Drosophila melanogaster: one gene and its partners. The protein of the gene in region 2 interacts with the protein of the main gene of each other region in a biochemical or structural test. Each region holds a gene or a part of one and is shown on either strand. Other genes may lie near its edges. The genes, in order: per, nmo, Mad and eya.

What was found.
Region 1: of the proteins of nmo (region 2) and per, one has a biochemical effect on the other in vitro, tested with the Drosophila melanogaster proteins (one study listed by BioGRID).
Region 3: of the proteins of nmo (region 2) and Mad, one has a biochemical effect on the other in vitro, tested with the Drosophila melanogaster proteins (one study listed by BioGRID).
Region 4: of the proteins of nmo (region 2) and eya, one has a biochemical effect on the other in vitro, tested with the Drosophila melanogaster proteins (one study listed by BioGRID).

Annotation. Positions count from the first base shown.
Region 1 is NC_004354.4:2,683,889-2,691,582, reverse strand, and holds the start of per (period), read right to left. Parts: upstream 6,004-7,694; 5' UTR 5,683-6,003; intron 3,387-5,682; 5' UTR 3,339-3,386; coding exon 3,244-3,338; intron 3,184-3,243; coding exon 2,144-3,183; intron 2,080-2,143; coding exon 1,723-2,079; intron 1,661-1,722; coding exon 1-1,660. UniProt on the Drosophila melanogaster protein: Essential for biological clock functions. Determines the period length of circadian and ultradian rhythms; an increase in PER dosage leads to shortened circadian rhythms and a decrease leads to lengthened circadian rhythms.
Region 2 is NT_037436.4:7,977,232-7,982,052, reverse strand, and holds the start of nmo (nemo), read right to left. Parts: upstream 3,008-4,821; 5' UTR 2,880-3,007; exon of another isoform or gene 2,544-2,879; 5' UTR 2,373-2,543; intron 1,654-2,372; 5' UTR 1,235-1,653; coding exon 1,071-1,234; intron 1-1,070. Other genes in the region: POP4 ribonuclease P/MRP subunit, read left to right, coding at 3,448-4,068; CG8209 (uncharacterized protein), read right to left, coding at 4,384-4,726, 4,783-4,821.
Region 3 is NT_033779.5:3,146,718-3,154,343, reverse strand, and holds the start of Mad (mothers against dpp), read left to right. Parts: upstream 1-1,590; 5' UTR 1,591-1,911; coding exon 1,912-1,915; intron 1,916-5,064; coding exon 5,065-5,540; intron 5,541-5,606; coding exon 5,607-6,297; intron 6,298-6,518; coding exon 6,519-6,925; 3' UTR 6,926-7,626.
Region 4 is NT_033779.5:6,533,080-6,537,851, forward strand, and holds the start of eya (eyes absent), read right to left. Parts: upstream 3,033-4,772; 5' UTR 2,822-3,032; coding exon 2,750-2,821; intron 1-2,749. UniProt on the Drosophila melanogaster protein: Tyrosine phosphatase thought to play a role in transcription regulation during organogenesis through its intrinsic protein phosphatase activity. The phosphatase activity was shown in vitro. Appears to function together with So and Dac in eye development.

The DNA of each region.
Region 1 (7,694 bases), on a different chromosome or scaffold from region 2:
TGGAGAGCGTTGGCCATTCCCGGAAAGGGCATCGGCTGGTACATCATGGCCGTGGCCGCGGCCGCCGCCGGGTGTGTGTAGAAAAGCGAAGGATGCGGGTACATCACGCCGGCCATGTACTGCAGCGGCATGGCCTGGGCGGCCGCGGCAGCCGCCTGCTGCGAGGTGGTGGGCATGTCCGTGCCACCCTTGTGCGGATGCTTGTGCATCCGGGGAGAGCGCGTGGGACTGGTGGGCGTCAAGGAGGCGGGGATGTAGTAGAAGGTCGGGAAGAGGCCGGCGGAGGAGAAGCTGCTCTGGGCCATGGCCGTGTGCGTGGAGTGAACGGGCGGTGTGATGCCCACCGAGAACGGTGGCCAGAGGTTTATGTTTTGCGTGCAGGTGGGATAGGACGAGGGTCCTGGCGTGGAACTGCCCACGGAGGAGGACGCTCCAGCCGCTGCTGCCGCTCCTGCTCCGCCTCCGCCTCCGGCTCCACCTGGTGTCCCCGTTCCCGAGGTCGTTGTGGCTCTGCCTTCTGGTGTGCCTGCTACGCCTGTTCCGGATCCTCCTCCGCCCGCCACACCGGCTCCTCCTGATCCCACACCGCCAGTGCCGACTGCTCCGCCCGCACTTCCTGCCGCTCCCTTGATCGCATCTGTTCCCAGGGTTAGCTGCTGCTTGGGCTTGTTGGCCTCTCCCTCCCAGGAATGGGAGCCTCCTCTTTTTATCCCGTGGCCTGGACCGCTGTACTCCAGCATCTTAAGGGTGTCATTGGCGGACTTCTTGCTCTTCTCACCCGTCCGTCCGCGCGACTCGCGGTGCTTCTTCAGCATGAACTTCTCCATCTCGTCGTTGTGCTTATTGAGCAGGGATTCGGTCAGCGTGACTGGCGGTATGGCGGCGCTTCCGCCTTTGGATGAGCTGGCGGTGCCGGTTCCGGTGCCGGAATTTGTTCCATTGCCTGTTCCAGTGCCTGTGCCTGTGCCTGTACCTGTTCCCGTTCCAGTTCCTGTCCCGGTTCCAGTTCCTGTCCCGGTTCCAGTTCCAGTTCCAGTACCTGTACCTGTACCAGTGCCCGTGCCACCAGTGCCGGCAATGCTCGTATTTGTCACACTGCTCATGTGTATGTTACTGGCGGTGGTGAAGTTGCCCGAGGAGCCACTGCCCCCGCTGCCCTCGTGGACGGGACTCATCGGACCACTGGCGCCACTGACACACGTGCCGCGCGGCTCCGGCGGCTCCGTTTTGGGCGGATCGAGCTCCGCCGGCGCCGTGACCGGCTTGCTGTTGAAAAAACGCAGCAGGTTCTCGTTATAGTTTAGCTGGTTGTAGCTGGGCGGCGTCTCGGTGGAACTCTTACTGTCATAGTAGTCGTGGTGCGGCGAAATCTCGCCGAGCATCACGCTGTCCCGCTCCGAGACGGTCAACTCGTTCTCGTGCGGCAGCTCCAGCTTGAGATCCGCCCGGGACACCTCGTCCATGAGCGTTTCCATGAAGCTGGCCAGCGCCTGGCAGCGGCGGGAAACCTCCTGCTTGACCGTGTCCGACGGACGGGACACCGTCTCCGCCAGGCGCTTCACGATATCCTCCTTGATTCGCGTGTTCCGGCTCTGTGCCTCCTCCGATATCTTCAGCTTACATGTGGGCGCCGCCTCGAAGACGTTGCACTGCTTGGGTCCTGGAAGGTGAAATGACCTGTTTAGAGGATCATTGGATCACTGGGTCGGCACGCGAACTCACCCTGAAAGACGCGATGGTGTCCGACGACAAATTCCAGCTTGCGGGACCATGGATTGACGAAGCTGGTCCATTCGGTCTCCAGAAGGACGTAGCAACCGTTCTGGATGAGGAAGCGGTATGGCTTGCTGCAGAAGGAGGCGCCCGCCGTCTGACCCTTCTTCATTACCGTCTCGTAGGTCTCCTTCATGACTGAGAGGTCCTCGTGGTGGTAGAAGTCCATGATGCTGCGGCCAATCAGGTCCTGCGGCAGATAGCCCAGTGCACTGACCGCCGCGCTGTCCACGTGCGATATGATCCCGGTGGCCGTGTGGCGTATGGCGAACTTGGGGCTCTTCTGTGAGAGAATCTCGTCGGGAACTGGGGGGGGCAGAGATCGATGGTTAGATGGCTGGATGAAACCAAAACGGGCACAGATACTCACCCTTGTAGCTGCTCTTGATCGGAGTGGCGCAGATGACGAGCAGCATGTTGGTGCCATTGGAGACCATGTAGTTGTCCGGTCGCGCCTCCTCCGGAGCCTCCCTGAAGGTGAGCCCCAGGCGGAAGGGTTCGTAGCTGACGGGCCTGCCGATGACGCCGAATCCGCCGGACTTGAGTCCCCGGTAGCGACGCAGCATCACGCAGAAGGTGCTCTTGGCGTCCTTGGGCACGCTGCCCCTGGATTCCGCAATGGGTATGCCCGTGGTGATCTGACTGGCGAAGGTGGCGCGGTCCTTAAGGTGCACAAAATCGATGAAGGACCTGCCCAGCCACATGTCGCGCGGGTAGCCCAGGACATCGGTGATGCTGGGCGTCGTGTACAGGACGATGCCGTCGTGCATGGAGATGACGCAGCAGAAGCTGTCCTCCTTCACCCGCTCCCCGCGCTGCCCTGTGCCCGCCGCCGCTGCGCCCACCCCGGTCATGGACTCCAGCTTGCCCGGACCTGCCTCCCAGGTCTTGTCGAACTTGGCCAGCCCGCTGTCCAGACCGGCTGCGTGGCCCACTCCGCCGCAGCCGCCCATCGAGGGCGGGACAATGGTGACGGATAGCGGCGAGGGAATCGGAAAGCTCTGTGCCGCCTCCGACTTGGCCACGCCCTCGACTCGGTCCGCCTCCGACTCGGAGCCGGACTGATCCTCCTCCTCCTCCTGCTGCAGCTGCTCTATGGCCTGCGGCTCGCTGTGATCCTCGCCGTGCTGTTGATCCTGCAGCTCTCGGCAGATCTGCTGTTCTACGCACCCAGTGCCGCTGGGCCGCGGCTTCTCCTCGTCCCTGCCCTCTAGGCTCGTCGACGCCGAGATCAGGGTCTGCGCCTGCCCCGCCCCCTGGCCGGCGCCCTTGTTCTTCTTCTTCTTGCGCGACTTATCCTTGTTGCGCTTGATGATCATGTCGCTGCTGCTGGCCTGCGTCGAGGGCTTGCCCCCATAGCCACTGCTGCCGGAGGAGTGGCTGCCGCTCAGGCGGGATTTGGAGCTGCCACTGGAAAGGGGATGGATCGTTTAGACTACTCGCATGATTGAGCACATCAAATGGACTCACCTGCGCTGCGACTGGCTGTTGCTGCAGCTGTTCGAGTAGGCCGAGTCGGACACCTTGGTGTTGTGTGTGGACTCCGTGGACTCGCCGCCCTCCATGGTGCTTAGGTTCTCCAGCTTGCCCAGTTGGTTGACTAGTGCGAGATTCTGGAAAATCGTATGATGACCATTAGCACTTCAGTTATCCTTGATAGGACCTTGAATGGGGGTAACTAAATAACTAACTAACTGATTTCACTTCTATGATGAACCTATGTATCTATGTTTGTCCTTCCTTCGAGGAGATTCCGTGACTACTGAGTATCCGTTGAATGAATGACCAACCACTACAATGCGGATTCTATTTGCACCGGATTCATTCAGAGCAGCGCTGTTGCATCAACGTGAGTCGATTGCGTTGTGAGTAGTTTCACTTCGGCCGGGTGATGAAATGAATCACGAAATCTGTTGCGGCACCGGGCTGCGACGCGCAAACCCCCCCGATTCTCTAGAATCCAATTCAAATTCCGAATGTTGCTTCGTTACCGTCTTCACGTTGCTCGCCAATAGTATTGTGCCGCCCAGCTAACCACCAACGCTTTCTAGGATCTTCTAGGCCAAGCGAATGGATGATGGGGGGGAAACCAGGCGTTGCACGTGTTCCGACTGCCTGCCATTCATGTTCATGAATCATGGCTTGGATAACTTCTAGTCCTAATTGGCTGGAGCATTGTTGTGAAATTGTCACCTTGACTTGCACCTGCATGGTGGCCATTGATTGAATCGTATACTCTCTGCCCGGCCCAGACTCAGAACGATAGATAGAGAACAATGTCGCCCACACGGTGGTTGCCTGCAACGAGGCTTCACTGTGCTAATTAACAGCGCAGCGGGAGCGAGAGCGAGACGGCGCGACGCTGCATTCACGTGCAGTGCGATGTGCTTTTGCTCTCGCGTTGCCTCTGCCGCTCCGCCAACGGATGTCGTTATGCAGTCGCAATGCATCCCGGCTCCAGATTCGCAGATACGTACTTAGATACTTAGATACGTGTAGTGTGTAGTTCAGAACCATGTACCCTGTACCTCAGTAGAAGACACATTCTTTTCAGCAATTTTGCAATTACAAAAAAAGAACGCAGCGAAGAACTCATATTTCTCACAATGCACCACTATGTCGTAATCGGTGCATATAGCAAGCATTCAATTCGGCAAGGAGTTCGGTTTCAGCGATTGCATAAGACCCAGGTTCATTCTCTCCGATTTGGCTGAATCAACTAAACCCAAAAATACTACACAGACACACAGGCATTAGGGTGGACCCCATTCCAGGCTCTTCAGAGTTTCCATTAAAAGCAAAGATAACCAAATGGGCCAAGTAAACAAGCTGATAGTTGTTTCGACGGCCCAGAATTCAAGAAGAAAGAATTCCAAAGAAGGTGAAAAATTCCATTGGATAATACCATTTTTTTGCCCAACAAACTGGCTTCCAACCGACTGCTCAATCTGCCCAAATCCTTCAGTTTATACCCACCAAGGATTGTGTAACTCGCTGGTTAACCCAGTTCGCATCCCATATGTGGGTGAACTTTGACGCAGCAAAGCAAGAAGGCCAACTGGTCGAATCGAATCCGCCGCGATGCCTCTGGATTGCTGGATTACATTGGTCGTGCGTCATTCCGAGGATGTTAGATAATGCAGCACAGGAAGCGCGACAGACATGGATAACAGTCGCATAACCCGGGGGCAAGACATACTGGGAAAGACTGTGGGAAAATTCGGGGCACGAATGGGAACGTTGAGCTATTAATGGTGGTACTCTGTTTAGCTTGTGTAACGCGACTGCGACTGCGGCTATCCAAATCGTAGGGGTTTTAATAGACATTCCAAATTTGCCAGAAATTACTGCGCCCACGTGGCGTGTGTGCAGCAAATAAGCTGAAAATACCAAGGTGCAATGCCCAAAAGGGAACACGCTGCGTATGCGCAATATGCTCTGACCCAGATTGGATGCCGGGCATCGATTAGAGCTATGTAGCTACATATATGAATGAGTTCACTTCACGTAGGCGCAGTGTGCTGCAGTACTGCACTCCAGGTGACCGGAAGGCAAGCGGCTGCAGTGGTGCACCACGTTGCGTATGCGTATTCTGCGGCCAGAGTATGTTTGTTTGGCACTGCAAGGAAGGAAGTGGTGGGGCATTCCCGGAGCATTGTTCGGTAGGGTCAGGTATTTTGATGTGGGCTTTTGTTTACGCTTTGCTCGGTGTGCAACGTGCACTTATTAATAAACACTATATGTACATATGTGTAAGTGCGCCATTGGACGTTATGAACCGAGTTATTTATGTAAGCTGCCTGCCCAATGCGTTGTTTTGTATTGGCAATATGATAATGGTCTATCTAGCGCCTCTTGCTGAGATTTTTCTTTGCAGCTTTATTGCAACAACGTGACAATTGCACTTACACACTCGCTCTCGCTCTCACCCAGCTGCACTTTTTTGCGATTAGGCTGCGATTAGGCTGCTGCTGCCTTCTGTTTGGAATCTCACTTATGGTCTCACTTTTTGGCTGTGGCTATATGTCACTCAGCTCGATACACTTGACACTAACACTGGCACCAAAGAATAACGGTTTGTTTCTGGTCGAAATTAAAAAAAAAAAAACGAAGCTGTTTGTTTGCGTGATTCGACAGGTCGTTGTTGCGATTTATTTGGTATATGGCAATACTTTCTACTGTGCGACGAACGCGTTGTCGACCTTCTGGCTCTAAATTCGCACGAACACTAGTGCTCGCATCGCAAGCTCCGGTGTATAAGCCCCCGTGCACTCGCATTCCCAGAATTTTCTCACACTCACTCGCTGCTCTCCGCCGTCGCTGAGAATCGCTGGGAATCGCAGTCGCTCGGGAAATCGCTGGTCGGCTGAGATACTCGGACCCAAACATTAACCCTTGGGCGAAGCTTTTGCGCGAACAACAAAAGCAAGTAATTGGAATGCCAAAGACTCCCTTTTCCATAGCAAGAAACCCCATTTATAGATTGCTATAATGTTGGATATCTTTCTTTTTCATAGCTTCTATTGAATACTAGTTTCTTTTGGTTTTTATCTATGCTGTGGGATACGTTACATGGCACTGCCGATGCCAAGTGTCAATCCAAGCCCCACGCACCAACTGCAGGTTAAGGAAAGCTATGGAATCCCCTGCCTTTTTGGGGCTGCCTGGTGGGCGGCTGGCAGCACGTTTTCCGAGGGGTGTTTTCCGGGGAGCCGGCTGGGCGGCGGATTTGCTGGCCAAGTCACGCAGTTCGCCACGTGAGCGGCGGCTTTTCACTGCCTACGGCTTTCTCGGACGCTTTTTGCACTCGGACCCGTCCCTGCCCCACCATGAATTGTGCGAACTCGCACTGGCACTGGCATTTCGCAACGGCATTACTCACCCACCCACCTGGTCATCGTCCAAGTGCGGCCAGCAGTGCACCAGAGCGCCAGTCCGCAGTCAACGCAGTGCATCGGTCTAGCAGCTCGGCTCTCTAGCACGGATGAAAAGTTGAAAGTGGCGCCAAGCTTTTGGGGGCTTCTGTTTCCCGTTTGTCCCGTGGAAGCTCTACCTGGGCAGGTGTGCGCGGCGTGCGCTGAAACACGTACGGAGTGGGATGATAGCGACAGCTGATTTTCCCTGGCTTTTCCGCCTCCGCCCAGCTGGCTGTTGCGCGCTGTGGCCCACAGGTGGCGTTACACATACCTGCCAGCAGGGGATTCCCCGTCTTTCCACGAGGGGTTGATGAACTCCGAGCGGTCGAGTGGTTCGGTTCGATGCTGATACTACTGCTATGCAGTTACAAATGATTATTACTTGCAATTTCTGTGCATTGAATTTGGCTTTTAGTCTTCGCAATTGAAGGGTTAAAAGTTGAGGCATCTGATAAATAGGAAATGATTTTAGCTACCCCCTCATAAAAGCATATTTTTATGGACCCCACAACTTCTTTTTTTTTCGGAGCATTTTTTATTATCCTAATCCGATCGAAGTGCCCAAGGATGTCTTTATGCCTTATCAGCCGTCCCATCGGCCTGCGGTGGCTTTGAATAATTGAATTCTATTAATTGGCGGCTTTGCCGACGTCGAGTGGGTGTGAAAATCCATTTGACCCGGCACCCACTCCACACGCAGCTCCTTTGTGGCCACGTGTGTGGTGTTTGCCCAAGCTAGCCGGAGTTTGCTGGCATTTGCTGGGGCTCGCTCTTATCTATCGCGGCCACACACGTGCCACAAAGTCACAGACGCCTGCCCGAAAATGATAAAGTGCGTTCGAATTAGCCACCAAACTGCTGCTAATTTGATTTTGATGCTGCGACTGTTGACTTGCCGCACTTCGCCACTCCCCGTCGCGTTTTGATGTGCTGTGATTTCATTTGATTGCCGCTAATCGGATTCCGGGTGGTGATTTCGGGTGAGTGTCGGTCGGACTGTGAGCG
Region 2 (4,821 bases):
TATGATGATTTCATATTGCCACCTTTTTTTGTGCTATGTTAAAATCATTTGCTTGATAGATTTGCAGCTTTTCGGTTACATTGATAACAAAATGTTGCTAATCCATATTAGATATTTTACTTTACCCAGTAAACAAACAAATATTCAATGCTCACCCCATTTAAGCAACCATTAATGTAAAATTTTGCACACAAATGTAAATCAAAAGAGTCGAGGGGATAGAAAAAAAAAAGCAGAGAGAGGCCGATAAACGAGGAGATGGGCAAATAGAAAAGTCCAAATTGAGGGGGGGGGAGGGAGGCCAAAACACGGAGAGCCAGCCAGTCAGCCAGCCAGCGCGCTTAGGGTAAGAAATATATTATAGGAAAAATCCACCCTCGGGGGGCCGCAGCAACGTTGAAAACTGCACAAAGGCACAAAACCATGAAGGACAGCTAGCTGAGACCCGGGACTGAGGTTCTGAATCGAAATGAGTACGAGGATGTTGACGTTGCCCGCTGCACAAAACATCAACATCAACAGCAGCAACACAATCAAAAGGGTTACAGAATCAAAGGCCTAAGCAGAAGGTTGCTGAACCCACGGCGAGACCGTGACATAAAATCGCACAGCAAAGTAACGACGCTGCAGATACCCTTTCTTCGAATAGAACAAAGACTTTTTCAAGTCAAAGAACAACTGTTTAATCTTTAGATATTTGAATTATAAAAGTACATTGACAGGAGGGTATTAACATTTGGATTCGAAGTCGGTCTTACAACTTTTTAACCGAATGTGTTTATAATGAAATCATTTACAAATTATCATTACATGAATTCTTTAAGGGGCACAAGCATATAATAGGATATGACGTTAATACACCCTTTTCTGCATTCTATACCACCTATTGTCTTATAATTCTCAAATATAATTGCCCATTTCGGCGGGATGTCTTTGGACAACCAGCAAAACAACCCGAAAATAACCATGCTTGCTAAACCAAGAAAAAATTTGATTGTACCAATACTATGGCAACACCCTTCGCCCATAATCTGGATTATTGCACTGAGATATAGAATCATTATACTTACCAGACAACTCCGAATGCTCCATAGCCGATAGGACGATCCGGCTGAACATCCTGGGGAACAGCCGGCGGTTGATAGTAGGGAGCCGCTGCGGCCAAGATTGCGCTGGCGCCCTGTGGCGCACCACCGGCAGCACCACCCTGTACCAGTGACATCGAAACGCTCATTGATGGACTACGCGGCAAGTTTTCCAAATAATTCGAGCAGCTGCACCCGGTTCTGGTATTTGTTGGCGATGGAGCTCAGTGGTTGTGGTCCTGCTAGGCTGTGGCTTTTACTGGTGGTGGTGGTGGTTTCGACTGGGTCTTGGACTGTGGTTCTGATTCCCAAAGCTGTGACGGCGGTGGTGACTGAGGTGGTTGAGGTGATGGTGTTGCTGGAAGTGGTGCTTGATTTGATGTGGGAGAAATGGTGTTGATTGCTCAATGGATGCCGCTGGGGCCAACTGATGGCCGCCATTCAATTGTTGGCCATTTGTTGCTGTTTGCCTTGGCGTGCTCCTCTATTCAGCGCTATTTGTTTCGCTGCGTGTCGCTTGTTACACTTCTTACTTATTTAAATTAGATTTGAGGACATTGTGATGAAACTGCGGAGTGAAGTGGATAAATAATCATTTGTAGACAGTTGAATTGTGAATAATTTAAACGTTGCTAACAGAATTTACAATCTTGATTTATTTTCACAGTACGCAAGAAAACTATTGAGAATTGATTTCCTATTCGACCACTAGTTACTAGTTACCACTAGGCTCAATATTTTGTATATTCTGTAAAAGCTAGATTTAATTTAATCCGGTTTTGGTATTATTCACTGTACTTTAATTGTCGTTACTTTTGTTTGCTTTTCGAATTTTTGGTGGCAAATGATGCTGCACAGGAATCAAAAAGAAAGAAGAGAGGAGAACAGTGAGAGAGAGCGCGCGAGAGGACATGAAAAGTGCCGTTAGCTGTCGCGACCGGGGCGCGTCCGTGTATTACAATTGTAAGTGTGTGCGCATGTGAGTGCGATTCTGAGTGATTTTCGGACTGCGCTGCCTGCGCAAAAAGCCGCTCAAAAGACACAAAAATCACTTAAAATCCGACTTTTCATGCAAATTTACAAATGTTGAAAACCAAACAATGGCGAGCACCCCCAAGTCGCCAGAAAATGAACGCAATCAAAAAACGCTCGCATGAAAATCGAAAAGTAACGGGACAAAAGAAATTCGCCCGGGGATATGTAATATTTCCCAGGGTTTCGCTTAGCTTTCCGGACTAATTAAACCTAACCTATGCAAACAAGACATTCCATTTCACTTTAAATTACCTTAAAAAATGCACAAATTATTGAGCAGCGGCGGTGGCAGTTTTTCGTTTATAATTTCTTTTCTATTTTTCTTTTTTTTTTGTGTTTAACTCTTCCGCCTTTGTGGGAGCGAGATGGAAGTAAAACGCGCCGGGGGTAATATTCGTGCGTGTGTGTGTGAGAGAGAGTGAACTAGCGGGCGAGACGGAAACAATTTTGTAATTTTGTTTAATTATTATTGTAAATAACGCGAGATGAATTTTTTGTTGTTTGGCGTGTTACTACTACTAACGCGACGGCTGCTCACACACACGCGCATACACAATCGCACGCACGTTTAAACTATGTACATGTATATGCAGAGCCAGACAAACAAACAAAATTTTGCCTGGGTCACGTTTCTTGGCTCTCTCACAGCTTTTTTTCTACGGTTGCCCTTTATTGCATTATCTTTGTTATCACACGGGCCGCGGGGCGTGGCTAAAAGGGGGGCGGGCGGATGTTGGTCGTCGGTTGGCGTTTGATTACCTCGCAGCTTCCCAACGAATGAGCCTAACTTGGATTTTCGATCACACGCGGCGACGTTTGTTTCAACGATAATTCCGAATTCGTGCGCTCGACGTTCCGCTCCGTTCGAAAGTTGAGAGAGACTTGAAACATATGTTCGGCGTTGCTAGAGGTGGTCGGCCACCGATAGAAACATCGATAGGTCCGATGTTTTCCACTCGTATATTAATTCAAGGTTTGGCTATCGATGTTTTTAGAGTGCCCGCACTATATCTATTTCCATCTCTATTTCGTTGGTATTTTTTGTATTTTATGACATTTCAAATGCAAAAGCAGGATGGCAACGCCAGATTGCCCCGAATGTACGTTATTTTTAAATTGCAGCGTTGAATATGAAAAATTGCAGGTACATACAGTTTCTAATAATTAATAGCAATAATTATTATTTAGCTTGTATTATACGAAGTGCACATGCAGCTATGCATCTGAAAAAATAATATTAATATATCGCCTTTTCTTCCATCGATAGAGTTCCGCGCCTATCGATATATTGTTGATCACCAAATAAATAAAACTAAATAACAACGCAATGGAACACGCGACAAGTGAATTGAGGGAATTTATCTCAGATCTGGTGATTCCGCACCAGCGTTGCAATGTTAACATCAATCCGGATCACATCACAATGCTGGAGGGCACCAAGATCAAGAAGCAGCACTCCCGAAAACGTCGCGCCCACAAATCCAGTACGCTGAGTCGCCGGGAATATGCGGCACTTGGTTTGAACACTCTTCCCACCAAGCAGATGAAGTACGAGGAGGCACTGCCACTGCACCACCTGTGGAAGGGCTATGTACGCGAGCATCTGGAGCTGAGGGAAGGTGACGAGGTGCCCCAGGTGCACGATGCTCGCTACGACGAGTTCAGCCGCAAGTTGGTGAAACTGGACTTGCACGGTGCCAAGATGAAGGTGCTGCAGTCCAAGTGCTCCACCCTGGAAAATTTGGCTGGCATCTGCGTCATGGACACCAAGAACGTGCTGAAACTGCTCGGCAAGGACCATCGGCTGCGCACAATACCCAAGAGCGAGTGCGTCTTTGGTATGAAAGTGGGCAACATGGAGTTCACCATATTCGGGCAGCACCTCAACATTCGACCCGCCGAGCGAAGCGTTAAGAAGATCAAGAACTTTGTGAAGCCCTTCATGTAGGAACTACAGGACCAATCATTAGCCATAGAAATTGAATCCTATTGTAATTTAAGGAAAAAAGTTTATTGGAAAGTTAGCATCGCTTTTCAATAGAAATTTAATAATTGCCCTCAAAGATCCTCTAAAACTTTACTTGTATTTGAGATTGTTGTGTTTAATATATATATAAAACCGTACATTAATTGTTTTTCTTGTTTTTTTTTTTTTTTTTTGGGGGGGGGGGGGTATATTTCGCGCCGCGTTTTTTTCGTATTTAGGTTCTAGTTTATGGGAGAGATTACCCGGATTCAAATATATCCAGTTTGTAGGAAAGATTTATGCGGGCGTCTTGGTCATGGTGATGACAGCGGATGGAACCAAGCCGAGCACTTCCAGCGGCTTCTCGTAGTCGTCCTCGGCGAACAGCTTGCGCGGAAAGGTGGTCATCAGAGAGAAGGGCGACTCGATGCCGGTCTTCATCTGGATGAACACACGTACGGCGGACAGCTGCTCCTTGACGTTGAAGGTTTCCTGTAGTGTTGAGCCATCCTGCAGGCGCACCTGGATGCGGGTTTCGGTGTAGTCTCGCGGCGGAGATTTCACACCGGCCGGTGGTGACGAAACTGTGGTGGAGCTCACGGATGGAGCTGGCTCTGCGTTGCCCAATTCCTTTTGTTCTCTGCATACCATGAATTATAATGAATTATGAAGTGGAAGGATAGGGCTAATCCTTACCTAGCCTTGCGTGCTGCCTTGTCCGCCTCAATTTGAGCC
Region 3 (7,626 bases), on a different chromosome or scaffold from region 2:
AGTGTAGACCACCCACCACCGACTGGCAATTTTTTTCATTTTTGCGGAAAAGCGGTGGTGTCCCCGTGTTGACAGCTCAATTACTCACATGACACAAAGCCTCTGCGTGGCCCCCTGCAATTATCGCGGCAATTATTTGCAATTAGAATTGAGTTAATTTACTTAAAAAAGGATTTTCTGCCGTGCCTGCGCATTTTTGCCCCTTGACGTTTGCACTTCGGCACGTGTGTGTTTTGAGTTTTCCGCTTTTGTGCAATTTGCGTGCATAAATTTTTATTGTTCCAAAGGGACTACATAATTATTTTGTTATTTTTCGTCGTTTTCACTTCTGCTTTCGAGGAGAGTGCGCTTCATTACTATTTCGATTTTACTGCGACTGTATAATGCTACCCATGTTTGCAATAAGTTCGCGTTTAGTAGTGTTAAACACGCAATAAAAGCGAAGGGAGGGAGGAGCGATCGCACATAAACATGCTCGCATTCTAAGCACACGTACAGTCCGGGCCAAGAAAATAGGTTCGCTTGACTTCAATTCAAAAGATTTCGTAACGAAAAAACTTTAGTTTCGTTGCTTTACCCATTAAAAAAAATTGGCAGTGCATTTGCGAATAGAATTTCGATTTGTTTCCGCTTATTTTCGTACCGAAAACACTCTGCCGAAGGAGGGCTTCATCGAATTTTAGGTTCAATTACTCGCCGGTCCCACGCACGAAAAAATTCGTTGACGCTGCCTTCTCTTAAACTCCTCCCCTGAAACTACGTTCCCTTCATTTTTGTTGTGGTTGCGGTGGGGTGTTTACAGTTTGATTGTGGCTGTGGGTTGACGCCACCTCCAACACCACCAAAGGCCATGCACTGCAAACAAATTAGTGTGCATCTAAAAACAGCAATGTCTATTTAATTCGAAAAAGAGTTAAGTAAAAGAGTACTCAAATGTTAAATCTTAGTTCTTCAAGTAACATTGTTATTTGAAATACAAATGTTGCATATTTTTCTCGCCGTGTGATCTGCTGCACACAAACACGTTCGCGCTCACGTGCTGGCGCCCCCAACTGCAGATAGGGCATTTGATTTGTTTAAAACAAAACTTTCGTTGCCTGTATGGGTGTAGTGGTGTGCACTTGGCTGCCCCAAACGCACACTGAAACCAATTACGAGCACAGGAATACGAATACGAATACGTCACTCAGAGGTCTTCAGAAATCAGGGCTGCGGACTAGCTGGTGATAAAGAAGGGATTCAATAGGGATACATACACTAGATTTATACTCTCTTAGGGCTACAATAAGTACATTACTAAATAGATAAATATTAAGAAAATGGAATATAATAACTCAATTTTCCAGTCTTAAACTTATTAATAACTGTAGAAAGTAGTTTGTGTTACCTTTAGATACTTTAGGATGGACCTGCTGCTTCGCATCCCTGGCGAACTCACACCGATACACAATACGAATGCAGTTTGGGCTGCGTTCAGTTCGTCACTCACTCAGTCAGTCAGTTCGTCAGTCAGTCAGTCAGTCAGTCAGTCAATCAACACTCGGCGCACTCAGTTTGCTGGGCAACCCGTTCGGCATTCGTTGTCGATCGGTCGTGTCGTGCAGTTGACTTCTGATTCGCGCTCGCTGCCATTTCCACTTTGCGTAATTTACGGCGAAAATAAAAAATAATACGGCAAAAGGCTTAAATAAATGAAGTTATTACGGTGATAACGATTGAATTGAAGACTCGCAGCGGAAATGTAACTGCTGAGGCGACTGGATTGGATGCCCGATCGTCGTGGAGGGTCGCGTTTGCGATTTGCATACGAATAAAATAACATTTTGATGCTGAATTCTTGTCCGTGTGTGTGTGTGTGTTTGTGCGTGCAATAAAAATAAATAAAATAATATCTGCAATCTCAACATCATCATGTGTAGGTTCTTAGTTCGTACATAGTTCTCGTTTGCCTCGAGTTGCTCGATTTTTGAGTTTTCCTCCTCGCATCAAATCGAAACTTTGGCCTGTTTGGTTTTGGTCTTTATCGCGCTGCGTTTTTGTGTGTGCATTGTTTGTTTATTTTTAAACATGGGTCCAAGTCCCTATTTTCTCTGTCTGTTCGTTTTTTTCTTGTTGTTTTGTTGTTATTTTTGTGGCACTAGTCGTAGTACCCTTTACCACGCTTTTTGCCCGCTTTCAATGGCAGCGGAAGTGCTTCTGTACTTCTGTACTTGTGTACTTGCCATCCATCCACCTTGATTTCTACTTCTACCTGGCTCCCATGATTTACGCCTTATTGTCACTGCCGCATTTATGATTGATTATCGATTGGAATGGTATGATACGCATGCGCGAATGCGTGCCTGCCATAAAAGTGCCTCGATATCCTCGCTCCTCCGTTTCTCCAGTTGAGTTATGATCCCTGACTAGCGATGCACTGAAAAGAAACTCACAATGGAATCACTAACCAGAAGAATGTACACAGCCGATTTGAAATGCAATTCTTCAATTTAGTTACTCTAAATATAAGACTAAAAGTAGATTCACTTTAAACCAAGAACCATCAATTGAATTTGCTTTGAAAGCAATGAAGAACTTTCCTTCGAGTGTGGTTTTCTTGAAAGCAGAAAGAAGACTGGGCCACTTTGGGCGGGTACGTTGGGTACGTGATCTCAGCTCGGGTAATATGTAATTGCGAATTACGATTATTGATCTTTAATTGATATGGGGAATGTCCCATATGATAATGGATCATAAAGGACTTATTATATTTATATTTAGTATCGTTCAACTCGAGATGCATTGAGAGACAAAACAAGAAAATCGTTTAAGTGCCTAAAGAAAGCCACTTTGTTGTTTGGAAAACCATCAAATCTCCGAATAAACATCATAAATATGTTGAATATGTTGTTATGATCGTGTAAATAAAGTTTTTATGTAATTCCTGCGAATTAATGGGGTAGTTTCCCCTTTTGAAAACCGACTGATTATGTCGAAAACCTCACCTGCAATCGAGCTTTGCACAAACAAAACGGGGGCATTATCGAAATTTGTATGCCTGCCCCACTCAAATCAATCGAATTCCACTAGAGCACCATTGCCACCTAAAAACACACGACACTAGTCAGCTGGGTAAATACGTAGGGTAGAGTTCTCTATCTCCACTAACCCCCTCGATAAGTCTGTCCGCCAAGTGTCACTCCGTTTGTATCCTGAGTTACTGAGAAGGAGAGACCATGTGAACTGGTACTCCACTGTATGTTTAATTTTGGGATTAGTTATAAGCAAAGGTGTACCATTTTCGATAAGGTACCGATTGTTTGTTCGTAATCCTAATCTTTTGGAAGAGGTTTTTAAGCTAGTTTTGGTAATCAAAATGGTTGTGTGACTTATCATTAATTTCAATATATTCTTGTAGGCTAGTGATAAAGTTAGAGCATTCTTAGAGCAATATATCTACCGCCGGAGGCTCTGGTTGACTTTGGGCAATTAGAAAAGTGACTGCCCCCAACCACTGGTCCTCGTTGACCACGCCCCCTTCCATGGGCGACAACATAAAATTGTCAATGCTGCGAAAAAAAAAAGAAAACGGCAACGCCCCAAAATTTTTAGGCCCGAGTTGAGCGAGAAAATCGAAATTAATTCACGCAACGGCTAATTTGGCCAGAAATATGCGCCATTTGGTCTGTCGGGAGCCCAATCGAGAGGTGTTTTCTTGTTGTCCAAGTGCTGCACTTGTTGATTTATCGCCGGCATTTAATTGCTTTTGAAATTGGATTTACCAGCCCGTTTGCTTGCCACAAAAATGGGTGGTTCGCCTAGCAAGTTCGCCTTGTGTGGCTCGCCGATTTTTGCTCCAGCTTGCACAAATTAATTGCTACTACAAATTTTCATTCAATTAGGTTTTGTCACTTTTAAATTTAATCAAACATTTTTTGACACCTTGAGTAAAGCAACGAGATTGAGGCTAAGACAGCCAACTGGAGCGCAGCCACTTGGCCAACGGAGAGAAGTTCCTCAGAAATGCTGTTAACATTGAAATGTCATAATTCAAATGGAATTGTTGTCTTTGGTGGGGAAAAGTATGGAGGGGGGGGGGCGTAGAAAACAGGGGGGAATACCCACAATTGTGGCGCTGACAAGTCGAACACCATTTGGTTATCATTTGCGCTCATTATGAGATGCAGTTCTCGCCACTCGACTCGAATATTACTGCAGTACAGTGGAGCCTAACTAAATAGAATGAAGACAGTGGGTTTTTATTGCTATAGTTTAGTTTTTTCTGTTGATAAACCAATTTCTTAATGCCAATTTTCTAAGAATCGATAAGGCAGCCCGAAAACCAGCACATGAAACTATTATCTGTGCTTCATAAATTTACCTATTATTCATATATTTTTGCAGAATTGTTGTGTTCGAAAACTAATACTATTTATAACGTTGAAAAGTGCGAACTCTTTTCGTTCGCAACCTTTGTGGTTTTTTGGAATTCAAAGAACTGTCAGACCTCAAAAATACCCCCCTTACAATAGAATCGTTTCACAATTGACGTCAGCTGCGATTGAATACGAACAATAACCATATTTAATAGATAAAAATAAGTTTCCAACGAAATCGAGATTCGATTAATCAGCTAGTTGGTTAAGTGAAGCAATAATGGCCATTATTCTCAATGAGAAAATGTTGCAGGCAATTTGCATGCAATTGGCCGCCAACATTGAAAGTGGGAGGAGTCCGTTCATGACAGGAACCTCCCAACGACTTCATTCACTAGCCAGAAACACGATGCACTGCCAGGCCCCATGGATACTCACTCCTCCTCCAATTTCTGCTGGGCACTTGGCCAAGCGGGTAAAGACACTCGAAGAAAAAGGGTCACATAAGTTGCTGACTTCCCCTTTTGTTACGTATAAACATTTGCTTGAATTAGATGCAAAGTTTTCTATAACATTTCTCTCAGTGCATTCGAATTTTGCATGCGTTGTGTTGTGGGCGTTGCTGAGACAATCTAAGCTCGATGATGAATGCCTGCAATTCTATTTGTATTTATTATTTATATTTGCTTTTTACTTGCTCTTTTCACAGACTATCCGCCCGCTGATAGTTATACCGGTTATCGGGTGACTCCACCCCAAATCAACGGCGGCACCACCACCACCACCACCATCAGCAGCGGCAGCAGCAACAACAACAACATCCACCACATCAACAATAACAATAACCACATCTGCAGCAGTGGCAGCAGCAACAACCTCAATTTGACGACAGCAATCAGCGGCAGCAGCAACAGAATGGACACCGACGATGTGGAATCGAACACAAGCAGCGCGATGTCCACACTGGGCTCGCTATTCTCCTTCACATCGCCGGCGGTGAAGAAGCTGCTGGGCTGGAAACAGGGTGACGAAGAGGAGAAGTGGGCGGAGAAGGCCGTCGACAGTCTGGTGAAGAAGTTGAAGAAGCGCAAGGGCGCCATCGAGGAGCTGGAGCGTGCGCTCTCCTGTCCCGGTCAGCCCTCGAAGTGTGTCACCATTCCACGCTCGCTGGACGGACGATTACAGGTGGGTCACAAGCCACATGGCCAGCTAAGTAACAGATGATTATTAACTCCTATTTCCGAATATCAGGTCTCCCATCGCAAGGGTCTGCCGCATGTGATCTACTGCCGCGTGTGGCGCTGGCCAGATCTGCAGTCGCACCACGAACTGAAGCCACTCGAGCTGTGCCAGTATCCGTTCAGCGCCAAGCAGAAGGAGGTGTGCATCAATCCGTATCACTATAAGCGCGTGGAGAGTCCGGTGCTCCCGCCAGTACTCGTTCCTCGCCACTCGGAATTCGCGCCCGGTCACTCGATGCTGCAGTTCAACCATGTGGCCGAGCCCAGTATGCCGCACAATGTGAGCTACTCGAACAGTGGATTCAACTCGCACAGCTTGAGCACCAGCAACACATCGGTGGGCAGTCCGAGTTCCGTCAACTCCAATCCCAATTCGCCGTACGACAGCTTGGCGGGAACACCGCCACCCGCCTACAGTCCCTCGGAGGATGGCAACTCCAACAATCCGAACGACGGTGGCCAGCTGCTGGATGCTCAGATGGGCGATGTTGCCCAGGTTAGCTATTCGGAGCCCGCCTTCTGGGCGTCGATAGCCTACTACGAGCTAAATTGCCGCGTGGGCGAGGTGTTCCACTGCAACAACAACTCCGTGATCGTTGACGGTTTCACGAATCCTTCCAACAACTCGGACCGCTGCTGTCTCGGCCAGCTGAGCAACGTGAACAGGAATAGCACCATCGAGAACACACGCCGTCATATAGGTGAGTCGATTTTAGCACTTAAATTAACTTACTCACAGAGATTTCCCATCAGCAACTATCTTAAAGTGGTTAATAACTAAGATTACACATTGGTAATCTTAAATTAGAAAGCGACTTGTGTTTATCAGTTATAAAAATAGGCATTGAGTAGAGTAGAAAGCTATGGACTTCAAGAATCCAACTACCTGTCTTTTTAACTCAAAATGTTTCTTCTTCCCCAGGCAAGGGTGTTCATTTATACTATGTGACCGGCGAGGTCTACGCCGAATGCCTATCCGACTCCGCCATTTTCGTGCAGTCGCGCAACTGCAACTACCACCACGGATTCCATCCGAGCACCGTGTGCAAAATACCGCCGGGCTGCTCGCTGAAGATCTTCAACAATCAGGAATTTGCTCAGCTGCTGTCGCAGTCGGTGAACAATGGATTCGAGGCCGTCTACGAGCTGACAAAGATGTGCACGATCCGGATGTCGTTCGTGAAGGGCTGGGGTGCGGAGTATCATCGCCAGGATGTGACCTCGACGCCCTGTTGGATTGAAATCCATCTGCACGGGCCGCTCCAGTGGCTGGACAAGGTGCTCACCCAAATGGGCTCTCCGCATAATGCAATTAGTTCGGTATCCTAAGCTTAAGATGAGGCTCGAGTCCTCAATGGAGACGGAAGAGAAGGAACACAAAACCGGTAGCTAAATGATGAGTGCGTGTGAGTGAAAGCTAAGTGTGAAAAGACGTAGAGAACACAGGACAATGGAGAGAGCATAGGTCTGTAGGCCTGAGGATGGAGGTCCATGCCACTCAGTCGCAGATTTATATAGATGATGTACGGCAGCTACTCCAATACCCGCCCTTTGCCCATATTTTATAGTTTATCGTATGATTTTCTATGCGAATGTCATTCCTAACGCTAAAACAGAGTAATGAAAATGGACAGCGAGCTAAGAAACCAATTACAAAATGGTATAACTATTTACAATGATCTACATGCTATAATATTAATGATCTATGCCCATTGGCAAAACAGTTCTTGTTCAAGTCTATTTCAAGTGCTAATTATGTGTCATTGCAAAACTGCTTTAAATATAAAAACACATTGAATTAATCCTACCAACTTTAATTACATAAGGAACAAGTAACTTACGTAGGGATATGAAAACACTTATTGCAATACATTTCTTAAAATGATTTTGAAGAAGCCCTAGCTTATGTTTTATTTTTCTCATTTGCGGTTCGCCTTGGATCAACGAATTCAATGTTCAATATAGTTGATTTAAATATATATATGGTTTAACTAATTTTAAGTTGCAAACAAATCGAAAACATCAAACAA
Region 4 (4,772 bases), on a different chromosome or scaffold from region 2:
CCTCAGCGTCTGGCGTGGAATCGCCCTGCTGAGCTCGGCACTTCCACCGCCTGAAACTCTATTTGGGTTATCCAGTGCGAGTGGCGAAAGAAAACAGCAAATTTTACATAATTCGCAATCGCCATTTGCTGCTGCGCCAAGCGATTTTCGCTGCCCGAGCTTGTGCGTGGGAAAAAGTTTAACTCAACTGTTACTCGGATGTGCGGCGCCATTTGGAGGGGAAGTCGGAAAGGGGGGGGGGGAGGTGGTAGTGCTCGGAAAAGCAGCAGGTGGCAGCGGATTTCGATAAGGATGCAAAATGGCTAGATGGAACAAAGATGACATTTAACTATACAGACTTTCGAGGAAAGATTGTGTCTCTAGGCATACAATAGAACGTCCTTTACATCCACTTACTATGTTTTATATTTATAAAGCTTTGACAATTCAGCTTTTGCCAGAATGATTTTGACAAATGGTCAAAAAAAAACGCCCCTTAAGAAGACATGTATGCAAATCGAACGGAAGCCAGATAAATCGAAGGCGGACTAAGGGGCGCGGCAAGCCCAGGTGCTGGAATTTGTGCGCCTCTCCACCCCTAAAGAAGTCCCTCAAAACAAAAAAAAAAAAAAACAAAAAAAGAAGGGCGGGAAGGGAGCGAAAGCTGAGCGGCTTCGGTTGACAGCTTCTGCCGTCCGGCGAGATGACCACACGCACGCACTGTCCATCATCCGGTGATCTGGTGGGGGGCAGCAGGACGCAGTTTGCTCAGATTTGTCGACGGACCAAGGGAACACGCGCATGCGCAGCGGCGGACAAGCGGACAGATTGCCGAACGGTAGCGTTTCGATGAGCTGCGCATTGGAGTTGCGATCTCGGGTCGCGAATTCTGCAGGATTGCGTGCTGCACGAGCAACCGAATTCGAGTCCGAAGTTGTATGCAAAAGTGAGCTGGTGAGGGGCCAACAAAAAAAAGGGGGGGGGGAAAGGGAAGAGTCAAATGCAACCTTTTACTAAACTAATTTATGGCACAAGCTGACAACGTAAACATTAACACAGACAACACTCGAATCAGTATCTGGGGGGGTTTTGGTTGGGCCGGCTTGGTTGGTTCCAGCTGCGGAAAAGAGTGGGAGATATGTGGTATAAAGACCTGTTTGTGGGCATCTTTAACGAAATTCCTGTGATCGTAATCTCTTTGTCTCTTCTGCTGCTTTAGAAGAAGATTAAAACACACACACTCGGTCACAAAAAGGCAGGCAAACAAAAGACAAGACAAGAAGACGGCGACAAATTTTTTATTAACCCGGCCCTAAGACCCCGAAGACCCCTACAAACCCCTTGAGCCCCCTTGAGTCCCCCTCGAGTCCCCGCGATAAAAATCAAAATAAACAAGAGGAAAATTTGTATCTTCTGGTGGACGAAGTGGAATCGAAGGAAGGGGCTGCTATGGCATGGGACCTATCCCATGCACCTTAACACTTTGGCACGTTAATTACGTTTTGGGCCACGATCGTGGTAGTATAATCAACAATCGCCAAGTGTCAATCGCAGTGGCCATAATCAATATTTCGACTCCTCCACCGCCCCCCCCCCCCCCACACACTCGCACACACGCACACCGATGTGAATTCTCTTTGTCATAAATTACATGCAGCGCGTATTGTCGCAGTTGAATTATGGCGTGTTAATTTTTACGATTACGGCTTAAACTTAATTAAAATGTGATTAATGCCGCTGGACGAATGCCGTAGCCCAGCTCTGGCTTTTGTGGGCCAGGCTCTTTAAATTCCCATAAAGCCGGCACCCAGAGACCCACTAGAGCTGTAATTTATGCTCTATTAATATTTCGCCTTAACCATCCGGCCATCCGGCCACTCCACGTTCGTCACGTTTCCTTCGATCCGACTTTGTCTTAGCCGTAGTTTAGGGACCCATAAAAGCCTGGAGAATGCCGTTCCATTAAATCGTCGGGAAACGAACTTTACGCTAATCTCGGCCAGACTTTGCATCGCAAGCGTGCAGTGAATGAAAAGGCTTTGGTAATTTGATGGGAGAAATGCATCAGCAGCGAATTGGAAAAACGTTTGTCACTATTTCGGCACTTTATTAAGCGTTTTTAATGACCTTTTGGGACTCAACTTGTTTGCTTCATTACCCCACAGCCAAAAGTTAAGCCGATTAATGCGTTGTAATAAAATTTTGGTCAGGTGCCCATAATCTTTATCCCCATTAACGATTTCCCAACAATGAGCAGTCATTAAAGCGCTTTTCTTCGCAGGATGGGTCTATAAAATTGATAATCCTCTGTGAATGAGTAACATTCCATACATTTTCAAGCAACCCAATGAAATTGTATTTCTTCGAGTGTATTTGCACGACTTATTCGCTTAGATTTATGAAATCGAATAGCATCTGAACACGACTTAGTTGTCAAGCTGGACTAGATTTATATATGAAGTGTGCTATGATATCACACCGACCAATAGATCAGCTTAAAGCATCCTAAACTGTTGTTCGTACATATATTAGACTCCATCCAGGCTTGATAAATGAGAGTCGAAGCGTTATCTCGCCATGGAGTTTCACTTTTTGGATACTACTCCCCGACTAGGTGAAGCCCCACAAGGCGCAACCACCAAGGAAGCTACCGCCGTCATCATAGTCATAACACTAGCAATACTAGTAATAGTAATAACCGACGGCACAGCCATCTCAACCACATCACTTTTAAAGCTTCGCGAGGAGAGCACTACGACTATGTGATTACCTTTGGCTCGATCATTTTGTCAATTAATCCGCATCGCGGGGCAGCGTAGTTGTATGGCATTAGGGTGACCATTCTGTGGACTTGCGATTACTTTCACTTGCAACACACACAAAAACACACACGCGTGGCGGGGTAGTGAACTCGACCGTTTCAGGTAGTTAATGTATGGTCGATGTTTTGAAATCGAATATATATTTAGTTATAGCGTTTCAGAACGAACGAAATGTATCTGGTAGGTTTTTTATCTGCGACTTCGGGCGGATCGACCGTTCCCGTAGCGCTCGCTTTGAGTGGCTCGAATCGACTGAACCACCGAAACAGCCGACTTTTGTGGCTCAATGCGACGCCGGCAGCGAAGCGGCAGCGGCGCTGCTTGAGTGGAAATCCCTGGCTCGGATTATTTGGATTCGTATTCGTACCGGCTAAATGTATCTCGGCACTCGAAACGAGTTCGTGTGAGCGGTGCGCACTCGGAGCAGCCTCTCTCGCTCCCTCCGCCGGCCAGAGAATGCGCCTAGACTCCGCCCATTCCCATTCCCCAAATCGAAGGGCCAAGAATATCGCACAGGGGTGGGTCGAAAACCACTTTTCCTCAAAGTTTGTTGTTTCTTTCTCTGTATTATGTTAGTTTTTTTTTTTGGTAAGTATCTCTCGGATGCGGGCGAACAATGCCCATTGTGAATGAGATTTTGCCGCTGGGCGAACGCCAACTGAAAAGTTGGTTTTCCTATGCGCATAAATTAATAAATTAATTCGAAACAACTCCGCCACCATTCGAGCACATAAAACAAATTAATAAGCTAATCAGTTGGAGTTTCTCGGCCTGTTCAATGGTAACCGCCAGCAAATTTAATGGCAATCGTAAAACGCGCAACGCGAATATCGGGTAATTTAAAACGCCTAAAACTTATTGGGTTCGATGGATCCGTAACGCATTAGAGAAGGAGCTCCCAAAAATCGAAATGCTCATGTAAGACGAGCCGAAGTGTGCTGGGCATAATCAAACCGATACGGGACATGGTATATGGAATATGGCAAATGGTATATGGTATATGGGATATCCGATCTGTGGACGGATTAGTGAGTGCCATAAACAAATTGGCATCTAATCAAAATCACAGGGCTATCTCTCCGTCCATGCAGAAGTGAATCACTTCCGATGGTAATTGGGTAGCATAAACATGATGGTTTAGAGCCACTAATGAGCTCGATTAAATGAATTAGAATGCTCAGACAGTATGGCAGCCAATTGATGTTGATTGGGGCAGCTCTGGCAAATTACTGAGCACATAAATTTTAAAGTGTGTTGAAACTTCATCCAAATGAAATTCTAGTAAAAGAGTTAAGCTTTAAGGTAGGCAACTTGTAAAATATCTTTTAAACCTCTCCTGAATATATATTTTACAATTAAACAAACAGTTGTCATAAACCGATAGCGGTTAACATTTTTTATTCTAATAAATATATATTTCATGGCCGTCTCGTATTTATTTATTTATACGTCTCCGTCGAGACGAAACAATTGAATCGTGTGCTAAACAATTCATGTTGATTCAACACTTGATTTTTGGCCCAACAGAGACTGACTTAAAAGCCTGGATGTAATTACAAGTGAGCAAGTGAAACAAGTGCATTTAAGTAAATAGGCGACATGCACACATGCAATAGAATTGCAATGGAATTCCGACAATGAGCCCATTCGATCCCACAACAAATTCAGCCACAAGAAATAACAAAAGTGAAGCTAGAAATTTGATTATGGCATTTTGTTAAGGCTTTCCACAGAGAAAATCGAGCATGACCTCAAAGTGAGGGAGTGCACTTCTTGGTGGATACATTTTGGGTGCAGTGAATCTCCGAGTCGGGCATTAAATTAGCTTTAATCGCTTTAGCACGATCGTGAGACAACATGTCGTCAATTATATCTACGATGATCATGGTGCTCCTCCCTCCACGATAATCCGTCTTCCCTCAGTTTGCCACTCGGAGAGTCTTCTGTAAACAAATCTGCGCACAATTCGCT